Linked DNA regions of Macaca mulatta. The protein of the gene in region 2 purifies or fractionates together with the protein of the main gene of each other region. This does not show direct contact. Links are inferred from orthologs where the notes say so. Each region holds a gene or a part of one and is shown on either strand. Other genes may lie near its edges. The genes, in order: NUDCD3 and KLHL15.

The links.
Region 1: the proteins of KLHL15 (region 2) and NUDCD3 purify together in Homo sapiens (co-immunoprecipitation; 3 studies listed by BioGRID and IntAct, with this or other methods). This does not show direct contact. The link is inferred for Macaca mulatta from reciprocal best matches to the Homo sapiens genes KLHL15 and NUDCD3.

Annotation. Positions count from the first base shown.
Region 1 is NC_133408.1:84,051,083-84,054,446, reverse strand, and holds the end of NUDCD3 (nudC domain-containing protein 3), read right to left. Parts: intron 3,115-3,364; coding exon 3,004-3,114; 3' UTR 599-3,003; downstream 1-598.
Region 2 is NC_133426.1:23,827,185-23,831,621, forward strand, and holds the start of KLHL15 (kelch-like protein 15), read right to left. Parts: upstream 2,964-4,437; 5' UTR 2,867-2,963; intron 2,684-2,866; exon of another isoform or gene 2,621-2,683; intron 1-2,620. UniProt on the Homo sapiens protein: Substrate-specific adapter for CUL3 E3 ubiquitin-protein ligase complex.

The DNA.
Region 1 (3,364 bases), on a different chromosome or scaffold from region 2:
AATTCTCACACCCCTAGGTCCTGTCCCCAGGGGTGAGCAGGGTCGGAGGAGGCTGGAGATGGATACCCATGGAATGGGGTGGGGCACAGAGAAGGAGAGTCAAAGATCTGACTGAGGAAGAAGCAGGTGGCCAGCCACCTGGGAGACTTGTGTGTCAGACATGGGGTTATGTCCTGGAGGAAGCCCATTGTGAGGGCTCAGCAAAGGTAACAGCAGGTATGTACCTGGAGATCAAGGAGGGCCTTGGAGCCTGGTAGGCAAAGATGGCCCTCCAGTGGAATCATTCCCAACTCTGCACTCACCCTAAGCTTTCCGGTAACTACAGAATTCCAGAACCTGTTTGAAAGGATGTAAGATCTATAGCTACATTCCTTTTCTCCTCACTAATCAAAATCTTACAGGATTTCTAAAGCTGTGTTGAGATCTTGCCCAGTGCATTCAGACCAGATGGGAAACAACCCCTAAGAATTCCCCACGCTGGTGTTTGCTGTGTACATTGGCCTGGGACCCCGAGGCCAGAATATAACAATAATGACCATGCACAGACAGAACTGTCTCAGCAGCAAATGTCACACGCAGACCCAGAACTGCTTTAATACCGATTTATTGCAAACCAACACCGAGGAGCTGGAACAGCTTTGCAGGCTGGACACCTCACTCTCCTGGGGCCCTGGACAAGGGAAATGAGTCACCCCGCTTTCCTCGGACCTCAGCTGGTGGGACTTAGTGGCTGGCCAAACTGCGGCTGTTGTGTCTAAAAAGAGAAAACAGGCAGGGTGTGCCAGCTCTGGAGACTGGGCCAGTCCAGAGTGGTGGCTCAGGGCAGAGAATCACCCACCAAACAGCGTGGCTCAACGGGAGCAAGGCGTGCAGGGACAGGCTCCACAACCACACCAAGCACTGCAGTGTGGCACCGGGACCAGATGCAAGTGGCTGCTCCTGCCATGGGGCCAATACCCAATACTGCCCTTCAGTCATTCTTCCTAGACATTGGTTTGCCATTTATTAAAGCAGGGCAGGGAGTGGGGAGAAATGCAACACAGAATACAAAATCAGGCAAAACAAACACTGGTCACCATGGAAGTGATTCTCAAAGTCTCCCAAATAACAAGGTGTAGGGCATCTCACACCACTGCATCACTTCTGGAAGACTACCCACAGGGTGGGGCTGCAATGGGGGCCAACTCGAGAACTACAGAGATGAGAGGAGACACACACAAGACCTCCTTTCATTAGGCAGGAAAGCTCTTATGGGACAGTGATGTGAAATCCTAGGACCTCGATGGGAAGAACTCCAGGAAAAAAATGAGTCTTTCTCAGAAGGACCCCTCATAGATGACAAGAGTTCTGCTCCCCAGGGTCGAGATCTCCTTAGAGCGGCTTCACCAGCTCAGTGGCAAGTATCAGACAACAAGGCTCTCACATTCCAAAGGGGGTATCTAGGGCCTTCTGCTCTCGCGTGATGATCGGAGCAACATGTTTAGACCCACAGAAGACTTCCCAGGAATGCTTTCTTACAAGGGGTGTCAGCCACCACTGTAAACCAGAAACCAACCACAAACTTACTCTCCAAGACAGCCCCCACAACCCAAGTATCCACAGAGAGTGTGTGCAGGGGTGGGGTCCTTCCCCTGACAATAGGCTCTCTTAGCATCTGCAGGCCTTGATTCTTGCTGGCCGTGCATGGTGCCAGGGTGCACTGCTCTGCTGTGCGGCTCATCCATGCTCTGAGCTTGAGAGACAGGCAAATGGGCAGTGCCGATGGTAGCTGAACCATACTCCCGGCGATGGGCACCCAGAGCCCCTGTGAGTACTTGGAACACAGGCCTGAGGCCCTGTCCCATAATTTCATCTTTGCACCTTGGCTGGAGTCAATCAGCAGCCATGGCTCAGGGCATAGGCTTGGGGCTCCTGAGGCAGTGATCAGTCCCCAGAGAACAGGTAAGATCGGGCCATAAGCTCCAGGGAGCGCAGTCTGACACCCGGCACAGAGGATGGGAAGGGGGGAGTCTTCTCTCTCTTCTGGTTCAGTTGTGGTGGGACAGTGTGCCTTCACGCCCCATGCAGAAATTCCACTTCTCCTAGAAGCCCCTCAAGGTCAAAGCTTCTCAGGACTTGTGGCTGTTGTGCTCTGCTGATGAGCTGATGAACATGCTGTGGTCTCCTCCTGAGGGCACCAGCTCTCCACTCCTGCCTACGCTTTGACACCGTGCACCCAAAGAGGACGTCTTATGGGGAGCCAAGCACAGCATGCCATGCGTGGTGGCTGGGCTTGGTTCACTTCAACAAGAACCAAAGCAAGGTCGCCACAGTCAGAGAACAGAATCCCTGCTGCATCTGGACCTGAGCCCAGAACCCGGGCTTTCTCCCAACAACTAGAATGTGCAAACAGGGCTCCAGTTTCCACTGCTCTGACCATGAGGCTGAGGCAGGCAGAGCACATTTATAAAGGGATGAGCAAGAAGACCACGTGAATGCTCCCAAAAGAGGTCAAGGGGCAAAGAGTTTCCCAAAGCAGCCCCAGGCACAGCCATTCCTTGCTCGCCCTCATGCAAGCACAGAGCTTCACACACTTCAATGACTTCAGCTTCGCCTGAGAGCCCAGCAACAACTCCACATCCCAACCAGAAGACATGCAAGCAGAATAGCGTCAAAACAACAGCAAGCAGGGAGCAGGGGAGGAAAGACATGCTGCCTGCAGTGGCTGGTTGCTGTGGAGACAAAAGCATGTGATCCCAATTTGCTGGGATATCCTCTCCTGCATTTCAAACACCTTCACTCAGCGTCAGCCACAGCGGCCACCACACAGCAGCTGGCCCCGCACCTTCTCTGCAACAGTCTGGAGATGCAAGGTCAGGGTGGAAGGCCTGGTTCACCCTTGAAAGAAAGGATGGTTAGGGGTAAACAAGACGAGCAAGTCCCTGGAACGCAGGGAGCCGAGGAGGGCGGCCGAGGATAAGGCTCTGCCTCCCCACCGGCGAGGGTTTCCTTTCCTTCTGGTCATTAAAACTGCACAGCCCCCGGGGAGATGTTGAACATGGCGGGGTCGAATCGCTGGCCTCGGAAGGGAGAACCTTCAGCATCCCACCCCTTCTTCAGCATCTCATGGACTTTCTACAAACAGAAAATAGAGAGATTAAAGGGGATCAAAAGGCACTGTGTACTTTCTCCCAGAGCAGACTCTGACTGCAGGCAGAGAGCCTTCCTGCTTCCTCAGGGCTCAGGCACTTGCCTGGCAAGACCGGCTCCCAGAGAACCGTACTACCCTGGAGCAGCCTTCAACCAAGGGAGGTACTGGGTGCCTGCCAATTTCTCTGCAAGACTGTGCTCCACAGACTGAATTTCTAACCCTTCATCTTCTGTC
Region 2 (4,437 bases):
ACAGGCCACCTACATCATTTGCGGGGACTCTTGTTCAAAATCAGGGAAAAATGGCGTTAAAAGGCTGGGCGATGGCCGGGCGCGGTGGCTCACGTCTGCAATCCCAGCACTTTGGGAGGCCGAGACGGGCGGATCACTTGAGGTCAGTGGTTCGAGACCAGCCTGGCTAATGTGGTGAAACCCCGTCTCTACTAAAAATACAAAAATTAGCTGAGCATGGTGACGCGCATCTGTAATTCCAACTACCAGAGAGGCTGAGGCAGGAGAATAGCTTGAACCCAGGAGGCGGAGGTTGCAGTGAGCCGAGATCGCGCCACTGCACTCCAGCCTAGGAGACAGAGCAAGGCTGTCTCAAAAGAGGAAAAAAAAAAAAAAAAAAAGCTGGGTGCGGCGACTCCCGCCTGTAATTCCAGCACTTTGGGAAGCCAAGGCGGGCGGATCACTTGAGTCCAGGAGTTTGAGACCAGCCTGGCCAACATGGTGAAACCCCGTCTCTACCAAAAATACAAAAATTAGCCGGGCGTGGTGGTGCATGCCTGTAATCCCAGCTACTCAGCAGGCTGAGGCCCAAGAATCCTTTGAGGCCAGGAGGTGGAGGTTCCAGTGAGCAAGGATCGCGCCACTCCACTCCAGCCTGGGCGACGGAGCAAGACTCTGTCTTAAAAAAAAGAAAAAAAAAAGTCGTCAAAAGCAGTAAAATATAAAGCTTTTTCCTTTCTTCTGTATCTCTCGACTATTTCACGGCGTTTTTTTTTTGAGACGGAGTTTTGCTCTTGTCGCCCAGGCTGGAGTGCAATGCCGCCATCTTGGATCACCAGAACTTCCGCCTCCCGGGTTCAAGAGATTCTACTACTGCCTCAGCCTCCAGAGTAGCTAGAACTAGAGTAGCTGGGATTACAGGCGTGCGCCACCACGCCCGGCTAATTTTGTATTTTTAGTAGAGACGGGGTTTCTCCACGTCGGTCAGGCTGGTCTCAAACTCCCGGCCTCCCAAAGTGCTGGGATTACAGGCGTGAGCCACCGCTCCCGGCTCTCATGGGTGTTTTTTAAATTTTATGTTTAATGTCGTTCTGAGTAAAGGAAAATTAAAAATTTAAATTAGCATGACTTTTACCATTCACCCTTATACTGTACAATCCCAGTTTTACATGCAGATTATTAAACCAAGCGTGGGGCCCTTCTGAACATCCATGAAGGCAAGCCTGCCCTGGTCAAGGTTAGGTTTCTGAGATAACCCGACTCGAGGTAGAGAGAAGGTCAAACCTTCAAATTCCCAATAAAGCAATGATTTGTCAAAATTTTATCTTCAAGTTAAGTGATAAATCCAATCTATAAAACCAACCACTTTGAAGTAGGCTTTTCCTTTTACTATGTTAATCCTGTCCAACTTCTATTATTCTGCCTTTTTACAAAACACAAAAGCATACTCTGAAAAGACAACCGATATTGGACTAGACAATCATAAATTTAATAAAACCTAACTACTCAAAACCATTTGTTAGCTAAAAATAACAATGTACCCAAAAATGCTTCTTTTTCACTTTTTGTGGACCATTTAAGCCAAACCATACTATATTTTTGATGTGCCAAGTAAAAATGATCCATACTGATCTGTTACACATATAAATTCTGGCAAAATAAATTCAATTTTCAAACCACAAATATTTACTATCCTATTCTTTCCCCAAATTAATCAGCAATGAAGAGTGCAAGTTAACATCCTCTACCACTGATAAACTGTGACTCTAAGCACCTACTACATGTGATGATTAAAAATGAGAATCAAATTATATAATTACATTAAGTGCTAAAAAGTTGAAATGTTCTATACATTTCTAGATCTATTAAGGATTACTGAAACATGAATGCATTGATAAGCTCTTAACCAATTTTCAAATTAGTAGAAGTATTAGAGCATCCTGCTCCCTAGATATGAAAAACAGGCATTAAAATTAGGGTATGTATGTCTGCAAGGCATTTTCTAAATTACCACTTAATCAGATCAACAAAGGCAAACAAATTCGGAAAACAGAAAAGACTAAACAAATGTAAGGTGTTAACTAAATATTCAGAGTAAGAAAAGGGGCCTAAAGCGGCCTAGAACGAGGAAAAGCAAAGCGCCTACAGTAACGTTACATTTGAATTAAAGAATACCGTTATTTAAATAAGCAGTTAGCACTTCGTAGGAGGAAGGCCAAGCAACGTGACTATTATAGATCTATGGATTCACAGCACTGCTTTACTATTATTCCGTACTTATTTGCTTTTATTTGTAATATAGAAATAAAGAGGCAGCAACAGTTAGCCACTACATTAACCACTCTAGCAAAGGTTACTTTAAAAAACGGCCTTGAATTCTTACAACACTCTACAGTTAAGGATTATTTTCACATATATGACCTCATATAGTCCTCTCAACCCTGCGATGTTGGTACTACCGACTATATTTCATAGATAAGAAACCGAGGCTCGGTACGCGATTTTTTCTCAGAGTCACCCAAGTCGAACCCAGACCTTCCGATTCCTAGTTTTATGCCTCGCATTTCGCATAGTTCTATTTCAGGCATAAATTGAATTGTTAAAGGGAAGGAACGGGTTAGGGAAAAAATAATCATGGTACCTGCAGCTGTGTGCTGCAAAAAATGGCTGAATTATGCTTCTTCCTTTTTCTTTCTCGCTCTCTCTGGGGAAAAAAAAAAAATTACATTTCAAACAATTTAAGTAAACTCAAAGACAAATGAGGTCCCGGCGTCTACCCAATGTTTGACTCGGGTCCGTGTAGAGAGGGCCGGCGAATTCGTGCCTAGCTCGGGGTCGCGGGCGAAGCCCGGGCTCCGCAGGCCGGCGGCCAGGGGCGGCTACGTACCTCGGGGGGTCCTGTCCAGCCTCTAGTGGACGGCAGTCTGCATCAGGAAGAACCGGGCCGGCGGGCCAATGGGTGGGCGGTCGGGCGCCGGGACGGCACTCGGCAGGCTTCTCGGACGTCTACGAGCGGCCGCTGCCGGCACGAGCCGGGTCGCTCCGGCGGGGCACGAGCGTGCTCGCCTGCAGCACCCTCTGGATAAGTCCTGGGAAAGAAGACAGCGCTGAGTCGCGAAACCAGACAGTCGGGCTCCGCACGAGGCGGCGCGGCGTCGGGGCCCGGACCGACCTTGCCAACGCCGGGGGCCTCGCAGCACCCGGCGGGGCTCGGCGGGAGGGCCGACTGGGGCCGCGGGCGGGGGAAAGGGCTGGGGGGCAGCAGGCAGAGACAGAAGCACCAGAGAAGGTAGCGTCGAGGACGGCGTCTCCGAGCTTCTGCCCCGAAGCGCGCCGAGCCTCGGGATCACCCACGCCGGGGGTGGAGGAAGGCGGGAAAGGGGCGGGGAAGGGGCGGGGCGTGCGGGGCCACGAGCCGGGGGCCGCTCCGGGCCGCGCGCCCCCTGCGGGCCGCGGGAGCCGCCCGGGGCCCGCCCAGGGAGGCGGGGCTGGCCGGCACGGGGCCCCGTGCGCCGTCGTCTTGACGCGGAAGCCCGCCACGCTGGGAGAGAGGGCGGAGGGTGGGAAGCCGTTGGGGGCGGGGAGCTGGCCCGGGAGGCCCCCCCTCGGCCCCTGCTGGCGCCCCGAGGGGGCCAGCCTGTGGCCTGGCGGGTGTTTACCTTCCCCCTGGTCGAGCGCCAATGCCGCCATCTTTCAGCCTAAAGCGCGTCACTTCCGGCGCCACGGGAGCGGGAGCCGGTGTGGGAACGGGGGTGGGGGGCTGGCGGGGAAGGCTGTCCCGCGCCCGCGGCGCCCCGCGTCCCGGCTGCCGGCCCGCCACGCCAGCGGTTTCCCACCGAGGAAAACAGGCGACCGGGCGTCGCGGCCCCAGACTGGGCCCGACGCAGCTTCCCCCGCGGCGCCGCCGTCGGGGCTGAGGACACTCAGCTGTCCTCGTCCCCTTGGTCCCTCTCCGCCTGCACGAGCGATGGGCCCCGAGCCACTGAGGTGCGCCCACCCTCGACAAGTTGAGGGCTAGGAAGCCAGGAAAGTGTCTTTTTGCATCTTGGCCACGGTGGGGGTGGGGGAATCGGGGACAACGTGGAGGGAGCTTTTCCATAGCTACCTGTTATAAAAGTGACTAGATCTGCGCCAAATGACATCATTTTTGTAAGGCAACTTGCAGTGGATTATTGCGTCACTGTCCACTTGGCTTGCTGCACAACAATTACACGTTTCAGAAATCGATTTCCCAGGGGTGGGAAAATTCATAAAAAATTGCATGTCTGCACCACCCGGAGATAATGCCGGATTTAAAAAAGCTGTTCTGTTTCCACTTGCGTCAAAATAAGAACGTTCAGAGGGCAGTGATTTTTGTTGTTCATTTTTAACACATCAGCTGTAGAATTCTAGCTAGTACTTTTTAAATATTACCTTTTCTTGACTTAAGAATATAAAACTAGACTATAGGACTGGTTT